Diceros bicornis minor: one gene and its partners. The main gene of each other region encodes a partner of the protein of the gene in region 3 in a complex. Links are inferred from orthologs where the notes say so. Each region holds a gene or a part of one and is shown on either strand. Other genes may lie near its edges.

Evidence for each region.
Region 1: the proteins of CALCRL (region 3) and RAMP2 are in contact, whole or in part, in a crystal structure (PDB 3AQF), measured with the Homo sapiens proteins. The link is inferred for Diceros bicornis minor from reciprocal best matches to the Homo sapiens genes CALCRL and RAMP2. Residues at the interface, in NP_001258680.1 of Homo sapiens: Arg38, Asn39, Ile41, Met42, Thr43, Gln45, Tyr46, Glu47, Tyr49, Gln50, Lys51, Ile52, Met53, Gln54, Trp69, Asp70, Gly71, Arg119; in NP_005845.2 of Homo sapiens: Trp86, Ile89, Tyr93, Ser94, Arg97, Leu109, Gly110, Pro112, Glu117, Ile120, Phe121, His124, Gln125, Phe128, Ala129, Cys131, Ser132, Leu133, Val134.
Region 2: the proteins of CALCRL (region 3) and ADM2 are in contact, whole or in part, in a cryo-EM structure (PDB 6UVA), measured with the Homo sapiens proteins. The link is inferred for Diceros bicornis minor from reciprocal best matches to the Homo sapiens genes CALCRL and ADM2. Residues at the interface, in NP_001258680.1 of Homo sapiens: Val36, Thr37, Lys40, Asp70, Gly71, Trp72, Asp90, Tyr91, Phe92, Gln93, Asp94, Phe95, Asp96, Pro97, Ser98, His114, Ala116, Ser117, Thr120, Trp121, Thr122, Tyr124, Thr125, Asn128, Thr131, Lys134, Val135, Ala138, Leu139, Leu141; in NP_001240774.1 of Homo sapiens: Leu106, Arg107, Val108, Gly109, Cys110, Val111, Leu112, Gly113, Thr114, Cys115, Gln116, Val117, Gln118, Asn119, Leu120, Ser121, His122, Arg123, Leu124, Trp125, Gln126, Leu127, Met128, Gly129, Pro130, Ala131, Gly132, Arg133, Gln134, Asp135.
Region 4: the proteins of CALCRL (region 3) and RAMP1 are in contact, whole or in part, in a cryo-EM structure (PDB 6E3Y), measured with the Homo sapiens proteins. The link is inferred for Diceros bicornis minor from reciprocal best matches to the Homo sapiens genes CALCRL and RAMP1. Residues at the interface, in NP_001258680.1 of Homo sapiens: Asn39, Met42, Thr43, Gln45, Tyr46, Glu47, Tyr49, Gln50, Lys51, Ile52, Met53, Gln54, Thr68, Trp69, Asp70, Gly71, Arg113, Arg119, Thr120, Phe228, Leu231, Ile235, Thr239, Val243, Ala244, Gln250, Trp254, Tyr255, Leu258, Phe262; in NP_005846.1 of Homo sapiens: Trp59, Ile63, Tyr66, Arg67, Ala70, Phe83, Trp84, Pro85, Asp90, Phe93, Leu94, His97, Gly98, Phe101, Arg102, Cys104, Pro105, Ile106, Ser107, Gly108, Arg109, Ala110, Val111, Arg112, Asp113, Pro114, Ile118, Leu119, Phe122, Ile123.

What each region holds. Positions count from the first base shown.
Region 1 is NC_080757.1:41,784,084-41,791,400, reverse strand, and holds RAMP2 (receptor activity-modifying protein 2), read right to left. Parts: upstream 2,762-7,317; 5' UTR 2,292-2,761; coding exon 2,192-2,291; intron 1,730-2,191; coding exon 1,664-1,729; intron 1,196-1,663; coding exon 1,087-1,195; intron 955-1,086; coding exon 699-954; 3' UTR 513-698; downstream 1-512. UniProt on the Homo sapiens protein: Accessory protein that interacts with and modulates the function of G-protein coupled receptors including calcitonin gene-related peptide type 1 receptor (CALCRL) and calcitonin receptor (CALCR). Required for the transport of CALCRL to the plasma membrane.
Region 2 is NC_080764.1:328,044-335,186, forward strand, and holds ADM2 (protein ADM2), read right to left. Parts: upstream 2,466-7,143; 5' UTR 2,281-2,465; coding exon 2,189-2,280; intron 1,342-2,188; coding exon 1,023-1,341; 3' UTR 514-1,022; downstream 1-513. UniProt on the Homo sapiens protein: Intermedin/ADM2 is a peptide hormone that plays a role as physiological regulator of gastrointestinal and cardiovascular bioactivities mediated by the CALCRL-RAMPs receptor complexes.
Region 3 is NC_080749.1:66,686,154-66,693,813, reverse strand, and holds the start of CALCRL (calcitonin gene-related peptide type 1 receptor), read left to right. Parts: upstream 1-4,652; 5' UTR 4,653-4,847; intron 4,848-7,660. UniProt on the Homo sapiens protein: G protein-coupled receptor which specificity is determined by its interaction with receptor-activity-modifying proteins (RAMPs). Together with RAMP1, form the receptor complex for calcitonin-gene-related peptides CALCA/CGRP1 and CALCB/CGRP2.
Region 4 is NC_080776.1:25,333,350-25,341,290, reverse strand, and holds the start of RAMP1 (receptor activity-modifying protein 1), read right to left. Parts: upstream 3,003-7,941; 5' UTR 2,985-3,002; coding exon 2,860-2,984; intron 1-2,859. UniProt on the Homo sapiens protein: Accessory protein that interacts with and modulates the function of G-protein coupled receptors including calcitonin gene-related peptide type 1 receptor (CALCRL) and calcitonin receptor (CALCR). Required for the transport of CALCRL to the plasma membrane.

The DNA of each region.
Region 1 (7,317 bases), on a different chromosome or scaffold from region 3:
GGACCTGGAGAGGGAGTCCTGTGGTGAACCTAGTAGAGGAAGCCCCCACTGCCTTTTGCCCTCAATCTTGAGGTCCTCAGGGATGGACTCCTATTGGTCAGATCAGGGTTCCTATTCCCAGGCCCTGAGAGTAAACTAAGCCGTGAAGAAGAGGAAAATTCAGGGCTTCTGGGTGGCCCCCTTCCTTCTTGCAGGAGTCACAGCAAGAGGTTCCTCCCTTGCTCCTCCCCCCACACCTCCCTAGCTGCTGTCCAGACCGGAAGGGAGTCTCTTCCTGCATGTTTCCTGGAGCTAGGTTTGGATAGGAGCAGGAAAGCCCCCCCTCCTTGGGAGGAAAGAGTGTAGGGGTGTGGCCTTGGGGGAGGGCAGTCTGGGGGGGGGTGCAGATTAGTGAACAAAACAGTGGGGCTATCCAGATTCTTCCAGCTCTGCTGCCCAGAGCTGAGGGCCTGTGGGAATGGCAGAGACTCTGGGAAGGACACAGTCCCCAGTGGGATGGGGAGGAGACAGTATACAAAAAAGTGCTTTATTTTGAAGATTACAGAATTTGTGCCATGACCCCTCCCGGCTTCCATTTCCACCAATCCAAGGCTCTGTGGTGGGGGTGGGAGTGAGAGAAAGAGGTAGGGAGGGGAGGAGAGAGACCTGGTGGTGGCAGGGGAAAGGAGTAAGATGGCTGCTGAGAAGTTCATGCCACCCTAGGCCTGGGCTTCACTGTCTTTACTTCTCCACACCACAAGGGTGACAAGGAAGGGGATGAGGCAAATGGGGGCTATAATCATGGCCAGGAGCAGATCCTCTGGGGGGTCTGAGAACGTGGGCTGCACTAGGGAGCAGTTGGCAAAGTGGATCTGATGAGTCTCAAAGATGATCTGTTCTGCCCAAGGATTGGGGAAGCCCAGGCCAAACTCTTCTGCAGTCTGCTCCAAGCAATGTTGCAGGGCGCTATAAGGCCTGGGGGCAGGAGAGGACTAGAGTGAGGGAGAGGTTGGGTCCAGAGAAAGGGGTGACCCACACTCACTCAACATACACCCACAAGGAGCAGGCCCCGTCGCTGGCCCAAACCACCTCCAGCACTGCTCTTACCTGCTAATCATGGCCCAGTCACACCAATCTTTTTCGATAGTGTCCATATAAATCTTATAACGCTGCCAGCAAAGTTTGACATTTGTCTCATAGTTCTCCACCATTTTCCCTGTGGACACAGATGCTGCACATTGGCCACACCCCGCCCCTCCCTCCAGGCCCTCTGGTCCAGGTATTTCCACTGAGGAACCACTGTCCCTGTCTTCAAACATGGGAACTAGGAGGAGAGCCTCAGAAAGTTTCCCGAGCAAGACACTTATGGCTGAGGAGAGAGTCCTAGCTCAGGAAAATTTTAATGCCTTCCATGTGCACAGCTCTTCCCAGCCTGACAAGAGCTTCCATGTACACTTTTCCTGGGGTCTTCTAACCCACCTGTGAGGTGGGCCAGCCCAGAGCTGGGAGGAGGCTTTGTGGGAGGAGAGGGAGAAAGAGCACAAGGAACCCCAAGAGAGAACAGAGGGGGGTTTAGTGGGGTGCCAGTTGAGGTTGGGGCCTGCCTTGTGGGAAAGGGACCTCCCCACCGACCTGGCTCTCCTTCTTGCCCTAGGCCACCCTCCCACAGCTGCTGGGTACTCACCTTCCGACTCCAAGCTGCCCCTGGTGGGACAAAGCTGAGCCATGGACTCCTGGGGCTTCAGGACAGCTGTGGGCAGAAATGGGAGAGGGAGGTGGGATGGCGGGGATCTGGACAATGGAGCGTGGACGCGGGGTGGGAGGGTGGGGGCAGTGGGTTGGAGGCTGAGATCTTTGGAAGTCAGGGCTAGATAGAGAAAGAGGAATAATCCAGGCCCCCACGGGATGCCTCAGTGCAGGGAAGAGAGGAACTGGTATAGGCTCCTTCTCACTCTCATCCCGACCCCAAACCCCCTCCCTTCTCGCCAGCCCCAGACCTCCCAAGACCTCTCCGCGGGCCCCGGCACCCCAGCTTTCCCCAAGTGGGAAGCAGCTTGCGCTGCGCCCTCACTGCTGTGGGGCCAACGACCGTCCGAAGGACAGAGCCGTCTGCACTCGCACCCCGGGGCCCATTTCGGCCTCGGCCGTCCAGCCCCCCGCCCCTCCAGGGCCTCCCGCGCCTCCCGCCTGGGCCCCAGGGCGCTGCACTCACCGCCCAGCAGGAGGAGGAGGCGGAGCGCTGCCGGTCGCCCGGCGCGGGTCGCAGGCAGCCGCGGGCCGCCGGCGGTGCGCTCCGCCCGTAGCGAGGCCATCGCGCGGCGAGCAGGCGAGGAGGGGCGGCGGCGCGGAGCCGGGCCCGGGCGGGGGCGCCTATATCCCCGGCCGGAGCCGCAGGAAGCGCGCGGTTTCCTCGCAGGGGCTGGGACGGCTGCGGCCACGTGGGGGGCGGGGGCGACGCCCGGGGCCGGCGAGCTGGAGGGGGAGTCGCTGCCCCACCCGGTCCTGGCGCCCGCCGCTCCGTCCGCCGGGTCGGCGTCGGCGTTGGCCCACCCTTTCTTCTAGCTCACCCTACGGGGCTGGACAGCTCCCTTAGTAACCCCAGAACCGGGATCCATTTCCTGGGCTCGGCCTCGTGGCGCCCAGGACTCGCCAGGGTCTTGGAGCATCCGCTCCCTGGACTGTAGTCTCCCCTTCTCTTTCGCCGCGAGGTGGGAGGTGGGGAAGTGGGTAGCAGGCTGCTCTAGGGGACCTGGAGAAGAGGGAGGGGGCTGGGAGCTCAGAGGGCCTCTCAACGCCGCAGTATCTAAGACTGGGGGTTGGGGCTGTCCTGGGCCGTGGGGGAGGGGGCGCCTGGAGCTGAGCTCCGAGTTCCCTTTCCCTGGGAACACCCACTGATGTCACCCCGCCTGCCGAAACCGGGGAGGCGGAGAAGAGGGAGCCGGCCCTCCAGAATCGGGGGAAGACCTGGGGAAGGGATAGGGAAGAAATCAAAGTCGAAATACCCTCCCTTCGAGGCACCTCCTGGGGAACAGACCCACTAACCGGATCGAAGGGAGGGACAAAAGTAAGATTACTCCATTCCCAGGAAGAAGGTGGCCACACTCTTCAGGACCGAGAGGTTGTGAGAAAGGAGGGAGTTAGAACCTACAATGTGTGACTTAATTCATGGGGTGGGTACATTATTAGGCCCATTCTCCAGAGAAAGAAGTCAAAGCTCAAGGGAAAGAGCCCAGAGCTTGAGTTCAGAAACTCTGAGTCCTAATTCTGCCTTCCCACTCCACAACTATATAGCCTGGAATGACTTCAGTTACCTTATTCTCAGTTTCCTCCTGTGTAAAATAGGAACATTACCCTCCTCACTAAACTGTAGTGAGGATGATGTACATGAAAGGGCACTGCACTCACTTGGCAGATGCTAGTTTCCTTTCCTCCTTTCCTAAGGACTTGCCTGAGGTCACACTGCTGGGAAGCAGCAAGCCTGAGCTGGGGCCCCACTTCTGCCACACCACTGCTGTCTCTGTGTCCTGAGCCAGAGCTTCGTTAGACTGAAGCAGCCGAGGAGCCCAGGAGATGGTTTGGCTTGACGTTCAACTCTAGGCACAGCTGTCAGCACCAAACTTTCCTAAATTACTCCCAGACACTGACCCTTGGACTCAGCTGCTGCTGTTGTCCCAGTTTACTAATTCCTGCCCATCACAAATTATCTTTAATGGTCTCTCTTCAAATCTTTGTCTCAGGGTCTTAGGCTCTCATCATGGTGACTGATAACCTGTTGTCCTCCTCCATAGCTAGGGGCAAGAGGTTGCTTTAGCAAGGCACCCAGAGAGAGAAGAGAGATGGCTCACTTGGCATTAACCCCAAAGCCCTCCTGGTGAGGGTTGTCTTCTGCAATGTGCAGAAAAGAGTCAGGCAGCCTCAGAGCCACTTCAGGCCAGGGACAAAATTCATTCCTTCCCTCCTACCTGTGATTGCCCTTTCCAAGAAGGAAACATGGTCAAGAGGGAGATTTCTGGGTGATAAGATGGGAGAAGGAAGCAAGGAGGGGCAGAAAGCAAAACCAGCCATTTCCACTAGGCTGGGTCCAGAAGAACCTGAGCCCACTGTGGGTTAGAAGAACTGGGGGTGGGGTCAAGATCAAAGGTGACAAAAGCAAATGTTGGGTTTTAAATAGGACAGTATGACATCATTGGTAAAAACAAACATTGGTTAGGATTCTGAAGGCAGGTTCTGCCTCTGTCTTGCTGTGTAACCTGGGGCAGGCCATTTCACGTCTTTGGAGCTCAACATTTTCATGTATAAAATGACCTTAGAATCAAAAGGGAAGGGCTGGCCCCGTGGCTTAGCGGTTAAGTGCGCGGTTCGGATCCCGAGCACGCACCGACGCACCACTTCTCCGGCCATGCTGAGGTGGCGTCCCACATACAGCATCTAGAAGGATGTGCAACTATGACATACAACTATCTCCTGGGGCTTTGGGGAAAAAAAGGAGGAGGATTGGCAGTGGATGTTAGCTCAGAGCTGGTCTTCCTCAGAAAAAAGAGGAGGAGTAGCATGGGTGTTAGCTCAAGGTTGATCTTCCTTACAAAAAAAAAAAAAAAGAATCAAACGGGAAAATATAGATGACTTGATAGAAAGTGTTATTTTTAGCCTAGAGTTGTGGTTAAGCTTGCATCATGATGTGGAGACCTCCAAAGGAGAGCTTGTTGTAGTCATTCCTGAACTTGGGAGTCCAAACTCTCTCATTGGAGGAGAATCTGGGCATTTTCTCTCCTCCTGACTTTCCTCTTCCCACTTTTCCTTACCAGTTGGATGTTTGGCTATTTCATTGATCCCTCGGGGCATCCTGGTAACTGGGGGTCTGCTATGGTGGTCTCTTGGGGCTGAATGGAGACTAGAGACCTCATCTTGTTGCCATAGGAGATAGTCCCATGTTGTGCAGCAAGGTGACAGAGAAGGGCTTCATTAGGGACAGAGGCTGGTTGTTTTGTGGGAACTCTCATTTTCCACCCCTGAGACCCCTACTTTCCCTTTCTAAGCCGACTTCTTCTTTAAAATATATTCTTTTTGCTATAAAAATATACTTTTTAATTGCAAGTAATACATAAGTATATACTTGTTGCAAAATATTTAAATGCAGAAAACTTTATACTCCCATTCCTTTCTCACTCACCTCGCCACATATTTTGGACTTAAAAAAATAAAACCATAAATGGGATTTAATATTCCTGTTGTTCAGTGATTTCTTTTTTTTACTTAATAATACGTCTTGGGTATCTTCCCATGGTACTGTGTTTAGATGCGCCTCTTTCCTTTTAACTGTAGTATAATATTGTCTTTAGTCTTTTTTTCTTATATCCAGTGGAGTTTAATCTTTAAGTTCCCTACACACTCCCTTATTCCTCTTTCCCTACCCCACTCCCACCTCTAGTGCTTGGGAAGAGAGGATCTGGTGCTGGTCCAGCTAGACATTGACTTGAGATTTCTGGCCCCAACCTAGAACTGACTTCTCCTGGGTAGGGGTCTTATGGCCATGTAAATTTCCCTCCTTATTATGGGCCAAGGGCCATCCTACTTGGAGCAGGGGGAGAGGTGACTCGATCCTTACAAGGAGTGCCGTTTCTAATCCTCAGACTTTCCCCTACACACACATATAAATCCAGAGAAACCTAGGGGGAAGTAAAAAGCCCTGGGGGCCTCCTACACAATAAAATTACATGCAGAGCATCCTGGAATTAGCATCTCTACGGGTGTAGAGACATTCACTCATGCTGGCCTCTCCCCAGCTGTCTGCAAAATAAAGAGCAGAGCACAGGAGAGGCCGTGGGGGAGAGTCAGGGTCAGGGAAGCCAGAAGTCCTGGCTGGGAGGGGCTGATGCTTGCAAGCTGGACAGAGGAGACAGACTTCTTCAGAGGGAGGCAGCAGGGAGAATCAGAAGAGCTGCAACCAGGAAACCAGCTGGCTAAGGGAGGGAAGACTAAGGGGTAAGGACACAACTCCTTCATCTCTCCCTAGCCTCCTCATCTCCAGAATGATGGCACACTTGGTATGAGGAGCACGACCACCTCTCAGAGGGAAGAATGGTCATTGGAGAAAACTTTGGCTCTCAAGTTAGCAAAAGGCAGAGAAAATGGTCAAGCCAGATTCCTCTTCAATTGCTATGAACTTAGTAGTAGCTACCACTTATTGAAAAGTTGTTATGTGCTGCATAGTGTGTTCCCCGACACATATGTGGAGTGCTTTTCATGCATTTCTTAAAACCTTACCATAACATCAGAATTGTCTTGTCCATGGGTGAAATGGGGAAATAGGAGTGATTTGCCTAAGGTCCCAGAGGTAGTAATTGGGAGTGAGAATTTGAACCCAGGACTGCTTGATAGTAAGCTTCATGTCTTCTTCTTCTTCTTTTTTTTTTTTTTTGTGCAGAAGATCAGCCCCAAGCTAACATTCATCCTCCTCTTTTTGCTGAGGAAGACTGGCCCTGAGCTAACATCCATGCCCATCTTCCTCCACTTTATGTGGGACGCCGCCACAGAATGGCCTGACAAGCAGTGCATCGGTGCGTGCCCGGGATCTGAACTCAGGCCGCCAGTAGCGGAGCGTGCACACTTAACCGCTACGCCACGCGGCCAACCCCTCGGCCAACCCCTAAGCTTCATGTCTTATTTTTTTTATTTATTTATTTATTTATTTTTTTGTGTGTGTGAGGAAGATCAGCCCTGAGCTAACATCCATGCTAATCCTGCTCTTTTTGCTGAGGAAGACCGGCTCTGAGCTAACATCTATTGCCAATCCTCCTCCTTTTTTTCCCCCCCCTAAAGCCCCAGTAGATAGTTGTATGTCATAGTTGCACATCCTTCTAGTTGCTGTATGTGGAACGCGGCCTCAGCATGGCCGGAGAAGCAGTGCGTCGGTGCGCGCCCGGGATCCGAACCCGGGCCACCAGTATTGGAGCGCACACTTAACCGCTAAGCCACGGGGCCGGCCCGAAGCTTCATGTCTTAACCATTATGATTTATCACCTCCCTCTCACTTCACATCAGGATATTGATTCCTTGCTGGGTCTTGAAATTTGGAGAGAAGGATAGAGTGTTTCTTGCAGGACCAGATTGACCCCTCCAGAAATAAGAAGATCCTGCTTCACCCAACTACATGCACACAACCTCCTCCCACCTCCTTCCCTGACCCAGGCTGGACCATGACATCACGTGGTGGAGGCTGTTTTTCTGAAAAGGACCCAGGCCAGATTTATAAGAACGACGTTCAGACAGCGTGACTGAAGAGGACTGTGGCCAAGTGACCACAGCACACACCCAGCAGTACTGAGAACACTGCTGGTC
Region 2 (7,143 bases), on a different chromosome or scaffold from region 3:
TCCTGGAAAGCCTGCTCTCGGGGCAAGCCTGCTCCAGCCTCCTGTTGTCCCTATGCCTGGTCCCATTGAGTCCTCATGCTACGCAGGGTGGGGGTCAGGGACCCTGTTGCCTATGGAGGCTTCCCTCTTGTTTGGCCATCCCCAACCCCTGAGGTGGTGGTGGTTCTGACTTAATTGACATCTTTGGGCTGGGAGATCTTGCCCCCACCCCAGCCCCACCCTGCTCTGGGGGATGGGAAGGGGCATTCTGCTCTGCCCTGCCCTGCCCCAGACGGGCCCCTGGCTCCTGAACCCCTATGCCCCCTCCCCAGCTGCTCACAGGGATCCAGGCAGGAGTCTCCACTGCAACCTTGGGCCCAGGCTCCAGGGTTAGCAGCTAGGGTAGCACAGTTCCCAGCACGGCCCGTCCTCCCTCATCCTAGCCCAGGGGCTACAGTAGGTTCCTCCTCCCTGCTGCCCTCCCAGTCCCAAGGGTACAGGAGAGGCAGAGGCTGGGGACCTGCAGCAGGCAAATCATGCACACCCAAAGCCGGGCTTTAATCCGATGATGTCAGGACCAGCAGGGAAGGGGCCATGCTGGGCCAACTTGGCCCCTCTCTCCTGCTGGGCCAGAAGTGGTCCTGGGCGGTCAGCACCCTGGCTTCTGCTTCACATCCTCGGGCAGACCTCTCCCCTCTGAAGCCGTTTTCAGTATCTGATGCTTCTGGCCACCTCTGCTTGGCACCTGTCCCCTGAGTGTGCACACTCCCAGGGTGTGCAGACCCCTGGTGTACAGACTCTGTCCACGGATCTGCCTGGGTCTACGTGTGTGCATGGGTTTACACGTCCAAAGCCATTTGAGGTCAGCTGCCGCAGGACGTGGGGTGGGGTGGGGGTCCCCTCAGGGGCCTGCACCACTGTTCCAGTCACTGTCATCTTCAGGAGCTCCAGGGGGCTGGGCTGGGGCTGGGGGCTTAGCTGCAGCTCTGGGCTTGGGGTGCAGCATCCCTGCTGGGACAGGCAGGGGTATGGCCTGCCCCTCCTCAGCCATAGCTGTGGGGGCTGCTGGGGTCCACGGGGGCTGAGTCCCGTGGGCCGGCCGACCCGACCAGCTGCCATAGGCGATGGCTAAGGTTCTGTACTTGGCAGGTGCCCAGCACACAGCCTACCCGCAGGAGCTGGGCTTGGGGCCTGCGGGGGCCCAAGTGTCGGCGGGGGCCATCCCGGAGAGGCTGACCCATAGCGGAGGCCAGGCTGGCACTCCTCTGTGGCTGGAAGGCCTGGCGTAGCTTCCAGACCGCAGGCTGGGGTGCAGGGTGCCAGGGCTGCAGGCCACTGGAAGGGTTCCGGGCTGGGGGCTCCCTGCAGAGGGAGATGAAGGAAGTAAACCAGATGGCCCAACCTTGGGGGGACCCCCAAACCCACTCACTTTCCCCTCCACACAGGCCTAGGGTCATTGCCAGGGGAAGCCCATGGCTCCCCCAACAGCCTGGAGCACTGCCAGGGGAAGCCCACAGCCCCCTCACCAGTTCGCAGCAGACCAGGGGAAGCCCACAGCCCCCACACCACTACCCAGCAGACCAGGGGAAGCCCACAGCCCCCACACCAGTACCCAGCAGATCAGGGGAAGCCCACAGCCCCCACACCAGTACCCAGCAGATCAGGGGAAGCCCACAGCCCCTCTACCACTCCCCTCACACACACACATACACCCAGCCTGGAGCACTGCCAAGGGAAGCCCACCTCCCTCTTGGGGTCAGGGCTTGGGTCCTAGCCCTCAGCCATCTCAGTAGACCAGGTCACATGTCCATTCACCTGCAACTCCCTGGGTAAAGGACACCCCTGGCCTCTATGGGTCACTCTGCTCAGGACCAGAGAGAGGCCCCATCAGCCCTTCCCTTTCGGTGGGGGAGGTGACCCCTCCAGCCCCCTCTCTCCTAGCTGATCTCTCCTGTTGAGGGGTCTGCTCTAACAGTGGGGGAAGCGGGTGCCCCAGGAAAAGAGGAAAAGAAAGAGGGGCCTCTTGCCCTGCTCAGAGGTTGCTGAAGGCACGGAGGCTGGTCTTTGATTTCGGAGGTAAGCACTAGCAGCAGGCGGGAGGCCCGGGGGTGGGGGGCCTGGGGAGGGCTGCGGGCAGAGGGGACCTCCCTGGGCATTCTGGTCTTCTGCCTTGCAGGCCAGGGGTCAGGCTGGTCTGAGCCCCACTCACCTCGGTCTGGCGGGCCGCCGGGACAGCGTGCCCGGGAGCTGCAGGTAGAGGAGGCTGATGCAACCGAGGGTGACGGTCAGGAGCCGGGCCATGGCGGGCGGGGCTGGAGGGGGCGTGAGCCGGCAGGTGTGGGGCGGCCCTAGCCCAAGCCACCTTTCTGCCCTCACCTTGGGGAGCCCTCCGCGGTGGGCGCCGCGCGCAGGTTGTACCTGCGTCCTTCGGGGTGCGGGGCGCGGGCGAGAAGCGGGCGAGAGTCTGCGGACTGTGGGCCAGGCGGGCGAGGGCGAGGCCTCCGCGGTCAGATCGCTGTCGGGGTCCAACTGGGGATGGAGCCTCGGCTCCACCGAGCTAAATAGTCCCTCCTGAGGAGGCGGGGCCGACGCGCGGCTGGGCGGGGCGCCCTCCCCGGCCCCCAACCCAGCCCTGCCGCGGGTGGACTGCAGCCCGGCCGGCTGCACGGCGCTCCGCTGAGGTTCAGTGTCCCGCGTCCTGGGGGCCCCAACCTGTCCGGGTGAGGGGGTGGGTGCTGGGGGCTGTAGCAGCCGGGCGGTCCCGCCTGCCACCTCTCTGACCCGCAAATGTCGGCCCGGGGCCCTGGCCAGTATCTCTTCTGGGGAGGGTTCCTCACGAGGCGATCTCGAGACCCCTCCTCAAGATCCCCTAGCAGCTGTATTCCTAAGCATCTCTACCTTTTTTCTCCCATTATCGGAGTATAAATGGTTTTTGTAAGAAATTTAAATAAGTAAAAAGTGAGACCCCGCATTGCCTCTCCCAGATCTGCGCGGGCGCCGCGTTCCTGTCTCCCGTGTACGCTGGAGACACGCGAGGGGCGTCCTGTGTGTGTACTGCATGTATTACATAAACACATATATGCTTATATAGGTAAGAATCTACGTAATCATAGAGCCCTCCATTCTTTCTTATGCTTGGCTGACTCCAGTATGTAAGTGTTTTGTGACTGACTTAATTGATCCTTTATTAATGAGCAATTAGGCGATTTCCAGCCTTCCAAGAGTAAGAACCCGTCTGCTGTGAGCTCGCAGATGTCTCTCTACAGGATACTTTCCCAGAAGTGGAAATTCTGGTTGAGGGTGAGCCTGTGTTTGTGTCAACAGGTAGTGTCAAATTGTTCTCCACAAAGCTTGCACCAATCCACTGTCAGCGGATGACAGACTTCGTGTCAGTAGTTCCTTGCTTCTTTGTCAATCTGAGAGGGGACAGTTATCCTGTCGCCCCACTTAGTGGACATTTCCTGGATCATCTGGGCATCTCTGTGTCCATTTGTATTTCCTCTTCTGCCTAACCCTGCCCAGTCTTGCTCCCTCTGTCAGGTCATCCCGGGTGACCTGGCCACTCTCCTGTCGCACACGCCATGGGAGCTCAATAAACATTTGCTGGATGAATAAATCAACAAGTGTTGAAAGCATGCCATACTCAAGAGCTTGGTTTACATCCTGAGGAAGGTGGGGAAGCATTGGCAGATACTCCTGTTTCTGTTTGTTTATTTATTTTTACCAGTGGGGGGAGGAGGGAGAGTGACGTGACCACATTTATATCAGAAAAGTGGGGTTCAGGAGGGAGGGGATGCTGCGGGGCTGGCAGGAGGCGTGCCATGGGGACAGAGTGGACGGCTCAGAGGGAAACTGAGCTGGGTAGGGAGGCAGAGCAGGGTCAGCCCTTCTGTTTGCTGATGCAAGGAGCTGCTGGAGAGAGCCAGGAGGGGTTGGCTGCCTGGGGGACATCCTGGCAGAGGTGTCTGGCCAGGTTCCAGCCTCGTGGGCCTGCGGCTGAAGAGATGGCAGACTTGGAACACAGTTTTGGGAGTTTCAGAGATGGCAAGGCTCTGGGAGGCGAGAGGTGAGGTGAGCACCGCCCACAGAGTGCAGAGAGAGGAAAGAACCCACATGCCAGGTCTGAAGGAACAAGTAGGGCAGGGGGTGCGCAGAGGACACAGAGGCAGGACCGATTCTGCAGCTGCTTCTCCTCTCTCCAGCCTCCCTACACCTCCCCTCAATCTGTCTTCCACACTGCTGCCAGTGCCACGTTCCAAAACACAAATGTGATCATGTTACTCACGCCACCAATAAAGGAAAAATAAATCAAAATTCCCTGTGTCCATGAGGTTTTTAATCCGGGACACGTGGAGGTGAGCCTCAGGGAGCCTCAGGGAGGTTCGAGGCCCGTGGCTCACTACATTCTTTCTTTCGGAACACTTGCTGCCACCGTGGGCCTGTGGTCCCACCTCCCTGGTTGCCCGTGGGCGGGATGTCCTCTGGTCCTCAGGCTTAAGCCTGGCTGCTTATTTTGCCCCTGCCCCTCCTGACTGGATTAGGGGCCCCCTCTGTGGTCCCACAGGCCCCTGAACAGCACCTCTCGTGGCGCTTGTCTGTAACTGTCCATGTACCCTTCAAGGGGAAACTCAAGGATTTCCTTCATGTATCTTCAGTTGGAGAAGCTGCTTCTAGGTGGTGATGGGCTGGCTGCCGGGAACGGCTCACAAGAAATAGACCAGAGGTTGGCTGGTGAGAGGGACCAGGCCACAGGAGGCAGGCGGTGCTGGTGATGTTGGAGGAATGCTTTAGAGAAATCCTTGTGGGGCAAGAAAAGCTAGGTGTCAACTGGTGGGGCAAACAGCATCCAGGGAGGTTTTGCTTGAGTGTTTTAAGGTGGGAGTAGTTGAGTTTTCTTTTTTTGTGTGTGTGAGAAAGATCAGCCCTGAGCTAACATCCATGCTAATCCTCCTCTTTTTGCTGAGGAAGACTGGCTCTGAGCTAACATCTATTGCCAATCCTCCTCCTTTTTTTCCCCAAAGCCCCAGTAGATAGTTGTGTGTCATAGTTGCACATCCTTCTAGTTGCTGTATGTGAGACCCTGCCTCAGCATGGCCGGAGAAGGGGTGCGTCGGTGCGCGCCTGGGATCTGAACCCCAGGCCACCAGTAGCGGAGCGCATGCACTTAACCTCTAAGCCATGAGGCCAGCCCGGAGAGGTTGAGTTTAATCCTGATGGCAAGGGTCCCTCAATAGGGAAAGAGTGAGGATGGGGGTGTTGATAGGAAACAGCAAGAGGTGGGGAGGAGGTCGGGCGGGGCGGAGCCTCGATGGTAATTGTGGAGGGAGGAGGTAGAGTGTGAGGGAGGTGGGCTTGGAGTTTGGTGGTGCAACACGAGGCCTTCCATTGGATGGCTTCTGTTTTCTCTGTGAAGCTGTGGGGTCATCTCTGAGACACAGGAGGTGGGGTCAGAGGTTAGAGGATACTGCAGACGGGAGGAGAGCTGACCAGACGTCAGCAGGCTGGGTGGTGAGGGGAGCTTCCATCTCGGTTTGCCTGATGAGAACACTGAAAACAAAGCCAGAGAGGTGGGGGCCGACGACATGGGCTGGATGACAGGCGATGGGAGCCACGATGGGTGGGGGTAAAAGGACAGAAGGAGGAAGCCAAGAGGCCAGGGGACCCAGGAGAGTCATTCACTGCTGGGAGGAGAGGAGGCACTGGGAGTGGCACAGTCCCCAGAAGGGGAGGAAGCAGGTAGGTGTGAGCACCTCGGAGGGTGACCTGGGCAGTGTAGTGGGCAGGGAACTCAATGGCAAGAAACTCGAGTGGGGGCTATCATGGTCTAGAAGGGATCCCAAACCTCCCCTTGACCCTAAGGCACTTCCAGAGAGCTGCAAGGAATGGGATCCTTAGGGCATGAGGGTGGGGGAGGTGGGGTGCAGGGTCCCCACAGTTTCTGGGGGAGAGCCAGTCCTGGGCTCAGGTGCCAGGCCAGAGGACTGGCCAGGGACACTGCCGGCCCATGCTCAAGCTCAATGGTGTGGTAATGCGGCGGGGAGGACCTTTCGGGTGTAAGTGATAGAAACCAACCCAGGACACCAGGGGCAAAAAGGAAGGTTTCTCAGCCTGTGTACCCAGCAGCCAATAGAAGCAGAGGAGGCTGTGGCTAGGCCTGCCCCCGGGGGCAGGGAGGGGAGCCTGGCAAGGTCTCTCCCTCAGCTTTTGTCTCTGGGTTCAGTTTCATTCATTCTCTTGGGCTGGCTCCTGCAAGGGGACGGAACATGGCTGTCAGCAGTTTGTTTCTTCGTCGGTTCTTGCAGCAGCCAAACTCTAAACACAAACCCAACCCTGCCACCCTCCCTCCCAGCATGTCAGTGGGGCAACCTGAGGCTCCTCCACCTCCCAAGCTCCTCTCCTAGGTGTTCTGTCTCAGGCTCTGTGTCCCCTTTGCCCATCCCTGTGCCACTGCAGGGGAGGCCCTGGCCGGCGCTGTCCTTGAGGGTGGGCATTGTCAGGGATCCTGCCTTCTCCCAAGCAGCGCACCAGGGCTCTTTACAGCGGGACATGCAGCGCGCCTTTTTTCATGGACATGTGTTGAATGTGTCACCCACCTAGATGGGGCTTCCAAGCGTGCTGGGAACCCCAAGGGCAGGGCCTGGGTAGTCCCCCATCGCCAAGCTGGCAGCCCTGAGTTTGGAGACCCGAGGGCAGGGCCGGGCCCTCTTGCCTTCCTCCAGACTGACAGCGCTAGGGGAGAGCCCAGGGCCCCGCCCCGACCGCTCTGCGCCCGCGCGTGGGAGCCCCGAGCTCGAGGCCAGCTCCGACCGCGGCCGTGCCTGTCGCTGACCCGTCCGGGCCGCCGTCGCTGTCACCTCCCTGGGGGCGGCGCCCCGGCCCGGAGCGGGAGGAGATGGGCGGGGCCCCGCCCCCGGGAAGCGAGCCCGGGCCGCTGGACCAATGGGTGCGGGCCGTCCCGGGCCCCGCCCACGGGGAGGGTGGGGCGGTGCCGCGCAGGCGCACGGCGCGGCCGGGCGGGCCGGCTGGCTGGGAAGATGGCGGCGGGAGCCCTGGCCACGGCGGAGGAGCGGGCCCGGGGTGTCCGGGGTGCGCGGGCCGGGGCCAGGGTCGGGCCATGAGCGCCCCACCCTCGCGTCGCCGAGCCGCGAAGCCCGCCCGCGCCCC
Region 3 (7,660 bases):
TCAACACGTATAAACACAAAGTAAAATAAACTCTTTATTTTAAAAATGAAGATTGATATTTAGCAAATAAAAAACATATCAAAATAAATTCACAATAAATACATATCCAGAGATGAAAAGAGCATCTTTTTCGATGCCAGCTAACACTATCCTAAAAGTAGAAAGAATTACTTTAAACTCTGTGGGAAAGAAGATTCCAATTTCCCAAATGAATTATTCACTCACTCTCAGTATTTATGTCCACTTGTCAATGCAGTATGGATAAGTATGGCTAGGATGACTGTATATAATTTTTCATCTAAACTAGGACACTTTCCAGTGTGGAAATATAAAACTGGGACTGTCCTAGCAAGCTTGGCCATATGATCACCCTAATTAAGGGTGTTAACCTTGAAGAAGTTCATTTTGTACCCTCATTTAAGTGAGCATTTACAATCTTGCTGTATTAAAAAATTCATTTTTAATTAGTCCATCATCTATGGCATTTGCTAGAACTAGCTCTTTATTCTAGGAACAGTTACCCCTTTTGGGGAGGAGACGCTCAAACACTCGTGAATATCCGTAAGAAAATGTTGAGTTCCTTGGAAGATCCAGTCCATCAGAACTTAATAAGAATCAACAAAAATAGTAGGCAGATTTTTAGCCAATTGTTTTTGATATGTTGCTTGACTCTCTTGGGGAAACACATTATAAAATACTAAAAGAAATAATATTTATAGGCTAGTAAAATAGTTCTGTTTATCTATACATGGACCTGATGTAATGTTACTCATTTCAAATTTAAAGTTTTCTGCTCTTTTCAAATTCATATGCATTGCAAATATTTTAAAATTCTTTTACATTATGACAAACATTATGATTTCCCTCAAGATGATAAATTGTGCACACAGAGTGAAAAATCAGCCCTTTGATTTTAATAATAGAAAATAGCATACTCACTCACAGTGGTCCAGCCATTGGATCCTGGTCCTTTTACTAAATGCAATTCATTTAGAAATGAAATAATTTGAATATGCTAAGCAATTGCTAGGTAAAATAATAAAAGTTCGGGTCAACTTATTTCATTACTAGAATTTTTTGATGTCAAGATTACAAAAATTATGTTTCTCCTCAAATTATTGGTGCATTTTTAATAAAGCATGATATACATAATCTTGTTGACTGCATAAATTATCTCCGAGTGTAAGTGATGACTTTCAGACAATTGAGACACAGAGGAATTATTAACTCACAACACAACACCCGAAAAACTTTGTAGAAATCATTTTTAAAGTTCTTCCTTGCACTCTCACCAGGGACCATCTGCCCGTAATGTTTCATGTAAAAGTGTTTTGTTTGTTTTTGTGGCAGAACTGTGCTCCAAGGCAGTAGCCACATGAATTCAAAATGAGTGGTCAGTCCAGCCTGTAGAGAACTAAACTGGTCAAACCACATTTTTTGTCTAATTTGATTAACTTAGTCGAATAATATAAACAGTAATCCAGAGATTTTGAGTTAGTCTCCTCCTGAGTGTGAGTCAAAGTGCATTTCCCATGGTAATCGGTACTCGTTACTAGGGGACTACAGTGCTTGTGAGCCTTACATGGGACAACAAATGTGGGCACAATCCTGTGTGTAGGATTCTGAAATAGACAAGTATGACTATTTATCATTATATCTGTCATTCTTCATTTATACATCATTCCTCAGTTCTGTAGTAAATCTTATCGACAGTGTTCTGCATGGTTACATCTAGATTCTGTGTTGGCAGGATTAGTTGCTAATTGCAGAGAATTTGGCACTTGATTCCTCATGTGCTAGTCAATCTGTGCTGTAAACAACTAGATAGCAGGACACATCCTATTTTTCCATAACTCTCCAATACAACTAGCACAGTATCCATCTCAGAATATAGGCTCGATCCCTACTTATTAAACGATTAACCAGTGTCGTTAATCTGTTCTGGGAAAAGATTTATATATATATATATATATATATATGAAATACGTAATGCTGAATTAATGTATTGATTAATGCCACACTGGCTAAGAATCACTTCAGTGATTACTGAAATATTTTCATTTTGTTCTGCTGCATTTTTCCAAATACTTGTCGTCATGCTTCAGTGTGTACTTGAGAAGTTTGCATTATCCATCTTTTCACTTGTCCTTCTGTACCCAAAGTGGCTTCCTGGAAGTCTTCAAGCCATTTATTTCACCTGGAGTTTATGAAATGGCAACTCTTAAGGATCTGATTAGTGGGACGTGGTTTGCTTGTTATTTCTAAATAAGGCTTATAGATGATACTGATAAAAATTATCCAAGAGTCTTCATGGACTATAACCATGTGCCTGACCAATAATTTAAATATAAACACTATAACCTCTAGTAGCCTTCCCATTTAGTATAGCACTTGACGTATAGTAGAGGAGAAAGAGCACTGATTTAAGAGTCTTATGACATAAGTTCAAAGCATAGACGTTTTCATTCACTAGACTTTACTACTGTAAATGAAATCAATGAATCTTTGGGAAAAAAACATTAATGCTTTTGCAAACTTATTGGGAAAAGTTTTAGTTTTTCATAACAAATTCAAAGCTGTAGAGTGATCTCTTTCTAGGAGTTAGATATTACACCAAACATAGGCGATGAGAAGACATAGTGATCATGCAGATATTAAAATCTAGTATTTGATTCTGCTCTAAATTTTAAAATGAACACACCAAGACATAAAAAGTTTTGCCAGAGGTCACACTAGAAAGTAGCAGAACCAGGACTTGAATTTCACGTCTCTTGGTCCAATCCCAGTGCTTTCTACTTCTTTCTTAGTGGTTCCCTGGGCAGTGTGCTTCCTCCACAGCAGAATTCAATATAGCTTTCACCTGGGAATATCTGATTAAAGAACCACTGTTTGTGGAGCCAGCCATACTCTGCAACATCGACTTTTCTTCTCATGGGCTGAAGGAAATAGCTCAAAATGAAGTACATCTCAGCCGCCTCCCAAAGCAAAACAAAACCAAGCCACAACTGGAAATACAATATTCTATAACCTGGCAATTTAACTCCTCTGGTTATTTTCTATCTCCTGATAACCAAATAGGTATAACACAGTTTCTTACAAGTCTTTTAACGACAACTGATAGAGATTGGTAAGTACCTTATTTTTTAAATGTATGTATTTTTATTGACCTTGATCCTATTGATCTTAATATCAAAGATTGTGCAATAAGTTTCTTCCATGGATCCAGGTAATAAAAATGTCAACAGGAGCATACTGCTTCAGAAACATGATATCCCTTTAATTTATGTTGCCTTGTCTTCCTCTGTTAGTCTACAAAGACTGAGGATCTCCTTTTGTTCCTGAATTGCAATAACTACCAGTTTCTCAGCGCCTCTGATCTCAGATTCACTAAGAATTGAATAATCATCACAATATCTTATCTATTTCTAAATGTTACGTAATTTCTTGATGTAAAGTCTTAGAGATAGGAGAGATTTTAGATGTTATTTGATCCATCTCTTCTGGTTTACAGATGAGAAAATTGATACCCAGATAAATTAAGTGACTTTCAGTGCTATTTAGGTTTCAGCAATTATAATTATTGCTGTATCTCACACATTTACGTTCCTATCAAAAGACAAGCGCATTTCAAATTTAAAACTTTCTTCCCAGATAATCTCCAATGATTCATTAAACACATTTAGAATAAAATTGTGTTTTGAGACAAAACTTTTTCTAAAATATTAAAGTATGTTACATATTTTACATTGTTTCATAATATTATGTTTATAAATTACCTGCATTTTTGTTAAGGCTACTTTGAGATATAAATGTTGTAGTATAAATTACTTTCTTATTTCATAGGTGATAGCATAATTAAGTCAAATATTTAAAAATATGTGCAATTATTTTAAATTTATGAATATATTCGCAAAAGGTTATTTTCTCTAATACGTATACTTATAGATAATGAAAAATAATTCTACATATATGTATATGTATACACACAACACACACACACACAAAGGTTTTGTTTATGACACATATACACATACTTATGTAATGAACAGAGTAAAAAAAGTTTAAAAACCTACAGGATAAAGTTTCGTCATTTAACTGTGGAAAACAGATCAAGGAACAGCTCTGATTATCAGAGCCCCCCCAAAATAAGAGTTGGATCATAGAATTAATAATGATGGATGCAGTTATTATTTTTCTGTATGCATTTATGAAGATAGACACGTTAGATAAAAAATTTCCTCGATGCTTTGTAAAGTATAATTCAATACACACACATGCACGCACACACACACTCCCTTAACTCCTTTAACTCTCTGAGCAGAATATTATATTCAGATTTCCTTTAAATCACAGGCAGCTCTGTTTGGCAAGTTCTAACAGAACTCAGTCAAGGTGAAATCCAGCCAGCTTTTGCTGCTAACAATGTATTCATACAGCTTATGATCTCTGTCTGTTCAGGCTGCTTCTTGCTCTTGTCTCGGAATAAGAAAGGAGTGCTGCTTTCCTGGGGTATGCTATTTGAGAAAGAAAGTAACCTAACACTAACTGCAGGCGGGGTCAGAGTGATGTAACAGGAAGCTCTGATGTTTCCCTTCTGCTGCTGAGCACATACAATGTGACAACACTTCCAATCTACTCAGAACAACCCTCTCTCTCCAGCAGAGTGTCACTCCTGCTTTAGGATCATCAAGCTCTGCTAACTGGACCTCACCCTGCCTGCAGGATACCTCGCAAGGCTCTCACTCTTCCCCACCTTGCCTGGGGGTAAATCTCTCCTGCGGAATCTCAGAAAATCAGATTCCATCCTAAGAATATTGCACCAAGAATTTCCTTAGGAGCTGTGCTGGGTAAGTACATTACTCAAAATAAATATATTTATTCTGAGTAGTATTCTCATGTAGTTTGACGTTTCTACTATAGAATTTAATTGATGACGTTGAAATGATGTTGAAACGTATTTTCATTTGTTTCACATGTTAAAGAAACTAGAGTGTATTACCCCAAGATGTATACAAAATCTGTTACTATGAGATAATATTATGTACAGTGATATTCTAGAAAATAAATTTAGCGAGTAATAAAAATCTAAATGGATTAAAAGCATGCTTCTGAATAAATAAAAACAAAATCAAGGAGCAATGCCTTTTAAAATTAGCTACTATTAGCTAGGATTGAATTTTGACAGCTGGAAAACATTTTTTTCCCCTAGGAAGGGTTTTTAAACTTTCCATATAATCAGTACTCTGTGAAAGGGATGAAAGAATAACTATTTATGGGGTCTCAGAGTCTCACTGGCTCTGTAGTTGAACACAATGGAGAATTAAAAGAAAAGTAAACACTTAGGATTTATTACATTTGTCTTCTATTTGCATTTTGCCTCTATTTACACATATATCTCTTACTATTGAACTAATGGAATTTTCATTGTTCGTTGTTGCCAGATGTGTTTAAGTCTCTCTCTTGCTAACCCTGAACTGTTTCTGCTGTATTGGATCATGGGGTGGGCTACAAAGGGAAAAAAACAGCTAGGGTTGAGAAAATGTTGAGATTTCTATATTAACTCCAACTTCAAAACTCTTCAGCTAATAGAATGTGTTACTTCAATTTGTCTGGTATGCCTCTGCACACTTTTGGAAGGAGGGTGTGATATTGAGATAACTGTGGATAAAGAAAAACAACAAAATTTTCCCAAATAAGTATATCAGATTATTAAACAGAGAAATTAAAGTGGGTATTTTTTAAAAAAAAAAGAATTTCCAGGATAAAATTTACTGAAATGTTGAGATGAAACATCTGTTAACGCTTCTTTCAACAGTACAGACTGTCCTGGGCAATTTAAGAAACTAGTGTCTCTTTAAGACGTTGTTGGTATAGAGATATCACAAATCAGTTGCCGAGAAAAATTAGATGTCAGATTTGAGTTCGAATTATATTGATTGACATAATTTATATGTATTTTCTTACCTAAATGAAATTATCATCTGCAAAATATCCTTCAACGGAGAAATCCTGTGCTTAATCACCCATAATCTGGCACATTAGCAGTGGACTACAAACTCATTCTGAGTAACTCCTTCATAATTTTCTACTCAATTTTTCCACAAATTTCTCCAAATAATGGAAATTTCAATTAAGTCTTATTTTTGTGATTCTTTACAAATGTTGTAGCTGATTTCCAGTCTCCTTTCAATCATTAAATGTATTGAGTTTCCTGATGCATGTGTAGAAATGGGAAAAGTGTTTTTAGAGGAGGAAAGGGAAAGAACACATTAAATGCCTAACCCAATGCCATGGGTTAGTAACAAAAATTAAAATAGCATGATTTTTAATTTAGATTATTTTTTAGAAGGAGGTATGGTATTAAGTTAATATCAAATTAATATCATACGTTATAATAAGGAACTCCCCAAACTTCTCTAAGTTTTATTTAATTGCTAGCCAAAAACTCAAAATTTTCTTGCATAATTTAATTAAATTTTTATAACTGTACTAATAGTATGGTTTATAATCTTTATTTTCAAAAAATACTGTTGAAAAACACTAGACAATGAATTTTGAGGGTGATTAGGCAAAGTCATATTTGAAAGTTTGAAATAAGAATTCATATTATATTCTAAAGTTTGTATTCTTTAATGATAAGAGAATATCAGAGTATCAGTGCATGCTTAGAATTTTTTTTCTAGATGTTGTTACCCTATGGGATCATAAAATCAATGCACAGAGTCTAAAGCCAGTTCTAAACATGTAAAATGAAACACAGAATTGAGAAATTTCATGAATAATGTAAGCTGAAATATGTTTTACCTGTAATATTCAGTTATCTTTAAGAAATATGCTTTTGGTTATTGCTACAATGTCTTTTTCTCCTAATATGTCTTAGCACATGCCAAAATACTATTTTATTAGTTAAAATATGTAAATTTTTAGAATATATACAACTATTCATTCAGGTTGAAAAAATTGGAATAACAGAAAAATAAAAAGAAATTAGAATTGGGTCTGTAATTTTTAAAATTATGTTAAATAAATGTCCGAGGTGTATGTACTTGACTCACCAATGACGCCTAGGATATAATGAGGTTTCAAAGGAGTGAACACCCTAGCATACTGATGAGAACCTTCACATTCACCAGTATATATTATAGTATTGTTTGATGTGTAAAAAATTCATTTCAATAACACCTTCAAAACAATATTAAGATAAAAAAGATTACCTTATATGCTTTATGTTAATATGGAAAAATTCTTTGATAAACACACAAAAACTAATCAGACGTTAGTTAATAGTATTATATATTTCTAACTTACATCATTTTTGTAACCATTATAACAATATTTTGCTTTTAATTTTTATCTCCATGGTTAAAATTTGATAGTAACTGAGTTTTTAAGAATTACCTGAGAGACCTTTATAGAAAAATTAACAAAATAATTTTTAAAGGATCAAAATATACATTCACTAAAAAAATATTTCATACTCTTATGTATGACTTTGAATGGTGCTTGAAAAAATAATTCTGTTTTTAGAGATATCATGATTATGGTGTCAACTTTTCAGAAAACAAATATATTCAAAGAACATTATTTGAAGTCATTGGCTTTATTCCTTATCTTTGTTTAGGATTCAGAGAAGGTTTTAAACCATAAACATAAGCTGTAT
Region 4 (7,941 bases), on a different chromosome or scaffold from region 3:
CGCTCCCTTGGTTTTCAGTAGAGGAGATGATCCTTGATAATGTGGGTGGGGCCTCATCCAGTCAGTAGAAAGGCCTTAACGGTAAGTTCAGAAATCCTGCCTCAAGGCTGCAGCATCAGCTCCGCCCTGGAGTTTCCAGCCTGCTGGCCTGCCCTACAGACTTTGGACTTGCCAGACCCCACCATCATGTGAGCCAATTCCTTAAAATAAGTATCATTAGACATAGCCCTTCCCGACGCCAAAGCTAAAGAGGAATTCACCCACATTTTCTTCTGCGCTTGCATGGCCTCATTGGTTATGTCTAAATCCCTGGTATAAATACATGTGTGTGTACACACAGTCATGTGCAGCATAATGATGTTTCTGTCCACCACGGACCGCATGTACGATGGTGGTGCCATAAGATCAGTACCACGTAGCCCAGGTCACACCATCTGGGTTTGTGTAAGTGCACTCTATGATGTTCACACAACGACAAAATCACCTACCGATGCATTTCTCAGAACGTGTTCCCGTCCTTAAGCAATGCATGACTGTACACATATCCTGGCTTCTAAATACCATTCTTCAATAAAAGGAACCAGGGCTCCTTGGTGAAATGGCTGATTCCAGGGCTGGGGCCAAAAATGTACAAGATGAGCCCGGAACATCTCCTGGTACCAGAAAGTAAGGAAGTGCTCAAAGAAGGATGGGGGCAGGTCAAAAGGACACAAAAGCCAGCTGGAAGGTGTTCTAATGGCCAAAGCGGGGACAATTTAAGGCCCCTTGTGATTATGTTGGACTCACTCTGATAATCCGGGATAATGTCCTCATCTCAAGGTCACCTGAGCAACTTTAGTTCCACCTGCAATTTACTTCCCCTTTGCCATGCCACGTAACATATTCCCAGGATCCAGGATCAGGATGTGGCCGTATCTAGGAGCCGTGATTCTGCTGACCACAGACCCCGGGGCTGGCAGGCCCAGCTGACCTGCTGAGATGCTGTTATGATGAGGACTTTTGCTTCTTCCTCCCTCAATTATCTCGATTTTCTTTCTTTTTTTTTTTTTTATGAGGAAGATCGGCCCTGAGCTAACATCTGCCAATCCTCCTCTTTTTGCTGAGGAAGACTGGCCCGGGGCTAACATCTGTGCCCATCTTCCTCTACTTTATATGGGACGCTGCCACAGCATGGCTTGACAAGCGGTGCGTTGGTGTGTGCCGGGGATCTGAACCGGTGAGCCCCGGGCTGCCGCAGCGGAGTGCGAGCACTTAACCACTGTCGCCACCGGGCTGGCCCCTCGATTTTCTTTTTAAATAAAAGAAATTTCCTAGCAACCTCACCCCCCGCCCCCTGCTTCTATTTCCAGCTGTGTCACCAGGCGGCCCTGACAACGGTAAACTGTGGCAAACCCTCAGTGGCAGGAGTGGTAGTTACTTCCGTGTGCACTCTAGGCACTGTCGGAAACCGGCTGCAGTGGCTTCCATTCCTAGTAACGTGTTACCACTGCTTCTTTCAGAACATCACATGGCATTACCCTGCCATCTTCTGCGAGGCCACCAGTTTGGAATCCACCTACACAAGTCCATGATGGCTTACACAGAGCATGGGAGAGAGTGCTTTTCTCCAGGGACCCCCACTGTGTCTTCCCTGGATTGTAATAACATGAAATCTTTCATTTAAGCACAAATCACTCAGCTGAGTGATTTGAGCCCAGAGAACAGGCTGTTCTGATTTTTAACAACCTGTCCCCACTCGATTTCTTACTCATGATTAATTTCTCAGCCTAGAAAATGAGACCCTGATGGCTTGGAAGCGGCAGAGAACGGATGAGGATCAGGAGACCTGCCTCTCCTCTTTCCCGCCCTGCCTTTCCTCTTTCCTGCCCCAGGCCCTGGAGGAAAGTGCCCTCTCTGGGTGGACGCCAGGAGAGGGAAGCAAGCAGCACCACCGTGCCCCGCTCCTGTGTGTGGTAAACCGAGGCGCAGGTCTTTGCAGGAAGGATATCATAGCGCCCGTGGTAACCGCGCACGCTGAGGATCCCGTGTGCATGGCAGGGTCAGCCGCCAGCCTGTGATCTCAGCGTTTTGGGGTATTTCTTGTTTCCTTTACTTGCCCACTGGAGCTCCCGGATGCCCCCATGCCCTGCACACTGAAGCAGAAACACAGACTAGAACATCGATGGCAAACATGCCAAGTTCTGATCCCTGCTCCAGAAGCCCGGGGTGCCTGGGGCCTGAGAGGCTGAGGGAGGCAGCTGGTGAACCCCGGGGGGTGGGAAGAAGGGCATTTTGGCAGAAGGACTGAGTCACAAAGGCGAAGGGGCTCAGCACCAGCTGTTGTCCATGGGGAGCCTCGGGCCACCCCTCCGGTGACAGCCTGCCCCATGGTTCCAGGAAGCTCTGAGCCCGGAACAGGGTGGGAAGGATAGCCTTGGCCTGACCACAGGGACCGAGGGAACAAGCAGGACATCGTTGCAAGCTGGGGCTCCTGTTACAGAGACTTGGCCGCTCAGCCGCCCCTGGGCACCAGACTCTGCCCTCCCTTGTCCCCCAGACACCTGCCCATGGGCCACAGGCATCTCAGACTGGACACGGCCCAGATGGGACCCTCTCTCTCCTGCCCCCTCATGGATCCCTGAGTCCACCTTGGCCCCAGGCCATCATGGACATGGCCTCCTCCCACCCCCTCACTGTCCACACCCAACTGTCACCGGCACCTCCCTTTGTCCTCAGTCTGTCCCCTGTCATGGCTACATCCCGTCACCCCGGACTGCAGTGAAGAACCCCTCACCGTGGCCTCCAATGGAATCCTCTCACCAGGCCCTGTGGCCCCAAGGCTCCCCCACAGCCACGTCCCTCCCATCAGGGGACACTCACTTGATGGTCTTGCCCCAGTCACACCACAGCGTCTTCCCGATGGCCTCCATGTCCACCTTGAACCGGGCGAGGCAGAACTCCTGGAGGAGGGTGCCGTAGTCTGCGTGCTGGCAGGCCATGGCCATGAAGAGCTGATGCACTGCAATGACAGCGCCCAGGGACTGTCACCCTCCGCCCTTGCTGGGGCCCCCGCCCAACCCTCCCCTGCCTTCCCTGTGGGCTGGGGGCTCCCATCCCAGGGCCCTTGTGAAGGCCCATATCCACTGTGTCTGAATATTTACCAGTTATCAACTCAGGTGACAAACCGTGACATGGAATGTGTTCCACCCTCCCACCTTCATAAATATATGAGGTAAAAATTATTGGTCAAGCAATGCATTGCACACTCAAAATTCACTCATTTCCCCCAAGCCCACGACTGGCTCTAGTGGAGGCTGGGCAGGCAGGGAAGCTTCTCCCATGGTCCCCTACCCACTAGGCCGCCTCTTCTTCAGGCTGAACATCCACTTTCTTCACCTCTCTATGGGTAGGGTGCAGGGGGTGTGGTCCTTTGCATTCTCTGTTCAGAGTCTGGCTGCTGGCCCACCTACTGCCCCCCAGGCTATGCTGGGTCCTCTGCCCAGCCCCACCCCTACCAGCAGGGCCCTTCCAAATTCCTGGAAGGAGCCTGGAGCTGGGAAGCCAGGGCTGTGCTGGGAATTCTTGGACTCCTCGTTGGGCGTCATGGACACGTGGGGACACCCAGTGCCCCTTACAGCCCTCAGGCCAGGGGAGACCACAGGGCAGTGGGTGAAATGGACACCCAGGGATAGGCCAGCCGCCCTCAGGGCAGGAAGATAGGGAGGGGGGTTCTGGGGTCTTTGTCTCTGAAACATAGCCTAGAGAGGGGTGTGCACTCATGTGGGCACACCCTTGGCGCCAAGAACTCTTGCCCCCTCTGCCTCTGTCTCCTGTAAAATGCAGAGGAATTGGTATTCCAGTCCCTGTGATGTACGGGCACTGCCCGAGGCTCTTCACCACACATGGCTACCTTGGAGGTGGGTCCTACCTATTATGATCATCAACTTATAGATAGGGAAACTGAGGCTTTGAGGCTCAGAAATGGGCCTGAGGTCCCAGCACCAGAAGAGATGTAGGCTAGACTGAAGCTGCCTCACCTCCCTTGGCCCTGAACCCAGCCAGCTCCCGGTCCTGTGAGGCTCAGGACCAGGTGGGAAGCTGGGAAGTGCAGCAGAGGGCACACCTGAGCAAGGGGGCATGTCAGGAAGGGCTAGGGGAGGGGTGAGGTGTCACAGAGTAGGGTGATGACAAGGAGCCGTGAAGCACCATTCCAGAGTGCAACTCCAGGGGGCTCAATGACTAATTACTGGATATGTGGGTGGGTGGATGGGTGGGTGGGTAGATGGATCAATGGATGGGTGGGTGTATGGAAGCATGGGTGAGTGAGTGAGTGGATGGATGGATGGATGGGTGGGTGGGTAGATGGATGGATGGGTAGGTAGATGGATGGATGCATGGGTGGGTAGATGGATGGATGAATGGGTGGGTAGGTGAGTGGATGGTTAGGGTGGTGGATGGGTGGGTGTATGGAAGCATGGGTGAGTGAGTGAGTGGATGGATGGATGGATGGGTGGGTGGGTAGATGGATGGATGGGTAGGTAGATGGATGGATGCATGGGTGGGTAGATGGATGGATGAATGGGTGGGTAGGTGAGTGGATGGTTAGGGTGGTGGATGGGTGGGTGGATGGATGAATTCCACACACTGCACACCAGGGCTCTGACCTGGCTCTGCCAGAACAGAGTACTGATGGGAAGCTGAAGCCCCGGACAGCGCAGAGGTGACGACTGGCTCACAGAGTGAGGTATGTCGCATTGGGAGGGGAACAGGTAAAGAGTGGCCTTGGTTACAGGTAACCAAGCCGACTGGCTGCCTTAAACAAAAGTGAAAGACAGATAGACACTGGGGACCTGCAGGCATCCATGGAGGGCCAGGAGTGTGGGTCGGGCACAAAGGCCACCTGCAGCAAGCCAGGAACATGGGCAGTGTGGCCCTGAAGTCGCCCCCAGGTACACTCTCCCTGTGCCCCTCCATGGTTCCCAGGAGAGGGAGCTGGTGTGAGACTGCCCACCTCTGCCAGGGCCTGTGTTTCCGAGACCCGTGGGTTCCACTAGAATGTGAGATGGGCGCGGGTGGGCTAACAAGTTCATTTGACTGATTTAAGTGACAGGCTCCAGGCTGCACACATCTTGACAAGATTGGCCAAAGCAAGGAAAGCGACATTCATAGCAATGGAACACACCTCTGTGTTCAATTAAAAACAAAAACACAAACAAGACACACAATGAACAGAGGTGAGGCCTGGCAGCAGAAGTTTGAAGAAAGCCTCGGACTGTGACCTGACTGCAGGTGAGCTGCAGCCATCCTGTGCCCACTGCCCTGCATGGTGCCCTGCAGGCAAGGCTGTCCACTAGGGCAGGGCACCTTACTGCCGGGTGAGGCAGCAAGGACTCCTGGGGTTTTTAGCCCAAGAGGCTGGGGAGTAATGGTGGGTGGGGGACAGGCAGAGATGAAAGGGTCCTCTTCCTGAGGAGAGGAGCAGGCAAGACTGTCCCTGCCCAGACGCCCTGGGAAGGAGCCCCCCTACTGGAGTATGGGGCCATGGGGGGGCCGCTGGTCCCTTATCTCTGGGCTACACCTGCCCCTGGGAGAGCTCGGAGGGCAGAGCACATCCCTCTGGCCCTCAGGGGGGTGCTCAGGAGGCTGGGGAGTGAGATCTGGTCCCTGCCCCCAGGAGCCTCCGCACCCACCTTGGTTCATGCCACTTCCCAACAGCCCAGGTGTGTCCCCTGCAGGGTCCACACAGGCACAGTGAGTGCACCCGTAGGACCAGCTGTGGGAGACTCTCTACCCTGGAGGCTTCTTCTGCCCACTGTCAGGCAGGCCCAGGGAATGGGCTACTCCTGACACCTGCCCCATCAGGACGCCCCTAAGAAAGCCCACCTGCCAGACAGGTGAAGCGCCAGGGGCTCACGGGTAGTTCAGGAAGGCTCAGATACCGGCTCCCGCAAGGGATTCCAAGCTGCCCGTCCAGCCTCATTTCGAGGGTCGTCCCTCCGTTTGTCCCCACTCCCTCACTGCTCCAGCACCCGTCCTGCCTCCCCATTGGGAATGCCTTCCCCCAGCAAACCCCACGCCCAAATGCGCCTGTCCTCCTCCATTGTCGCCTCCTCCTCCTCTGAGGCCCCAGCTGCCCCCCGCCCACCTCCTCAGCGCCTTGGGTAGGGCAGGTAGGAGGTTTCTTTCTTTTCTGGGAACAGTCTTGGTTGCCCTCTCATCTCCCACTCCTTTCTGACTCATGTGCACATCCTCCCCGGCACCCAGCCCTCTGTGCATCAGTATTTGTCAAATGAATGAACGAACGAACGAGACGGCGCCCCCCAGCCTTATCAGTGGACATACTGTGTGGGAACGAAGCTAGAATGCCTTGGACTGTCCCAGAGAGGGTCAGGAAGCACGGTGGGGCCCCTCCTCTTCTGGAAGGGTTGGTTTTAGGGCAAACGAAGACGCATGTGCACCTCAGCGAGGGCTCTTGGCTGCCCGCAACAGAAACCCACCCGGGCTGACCTAAGCACTGCAGGAACCTGTTACAAGGACGCTGGGTGGCTCCCAAGTCCGCTGAGGGCCAGGGAAGTGGGGGCTGCATAACTGTCCAGCAGAGCCAGATGTTGCCTCCTCTGGTGGGGTCCCCAAGAGGGGAAGTGCTGGTGCGGGGGGCCAGAAGGAGTGCCACCAGGCCCTCCATCTGGTTGGAATGAGCTCTGAGGGGGAAGGCCCCAGACCATAATTCCTCCTATTAAGGTGTCCCTCCCTGGTGTATTCAGGTCAACCTCCTGCTGTCCTCTGGGCTATGGAAGACAGCCGCCTGCCCCCACCCTGCTGCCTTGGGCCCTCAGTGGCCACCATGTCCTGTAGCCTCAGAGATCACGCTGGAACAAGGCTGGCTCTAGCTCCCACTGTCTGTGCAACTCCTGCCCTGGGCTGGCTGCAGGGCCTACCCCCTGGCCTTGACCCTGGCCTGGCTCTGGGCTGCATCTCTCACCTCTCTCTGAACCACCCTCTGCCTCCCAAGGGTGAGACCTGTGGTGGCCAGTCCCACCGACCCCCTGTCCATTCTTTCCTGCCCTGGGAGAGCCCAGAGCCACGGCCGTTCTCTCTGCCAGTTCCTACAACTGGGACGAGGCCCGGCAAGCTGTTCGGGTGGATCTGGAAACCAGCTTCCTTTTTCAGGTACAGGAGAACAACACTGACATTTTCCTTAAACGAGCCTGATGTGGTTTCTTTCACTGGAAACAGAGGCAACATTACAGTTTCAAAAACTGAATGAAATTGCCCCAAATTTTAACACCAGCTGTTTGGGGCCACATGGGTTCCATTTCCGCGTGACTGCAAATGTAATCATTCACAGCTTGTGTCTTTCAAAGGCTGCATGCGGAGGCTGCGAGCAGACGGCACTCCTTCCTCGGCGTGCTGGGACAGGAACCGTCCCTGGCGCGGTGCATCACTTAGGAATTCCATGTTCCTTTGGGGGGAACCGGCTCCCCTCTCTCCACAGCAGGAAGACACCCCCGACATGAGCATACATGGTGGCCACACAAAGGCAGAAAGGAGCCCTCAGGCAAAGAGACCCGGACCAGACAGGGCAGCAGGGCTCCCCACGGGTCCCCTGTGCTCTGCCACTAGGGCCGCAGGGCAGCTGCCTTGAGGCCCTTGGTATTTGGGTTTTCTAACGAGATGAGGGTCTGGAGAGATGAGGGCCCAGAGTGTGAACCTCAGGGTCTCCTTTTATGCCGCCCTTGCTCTGTGCCTGCATGTCTGGCATGAAGAGCCCAGCCTGCTGCGGCTGCTTTCTTGTTTGAGAGAGAGAAGCGCAGACCCCACATGGTCCTCCCGGAGCTGCAGTGGGGGCGGCTGGGGTGGTGGGTGTGAGGGGAGCCAGAGGAGGGGCAGCCCTGGGAAGGACAGGGCTGGGGGTTAAAAATAGAGCCCCCCTGCGGTGCCATGAACTGGAGGAGGAGCAGC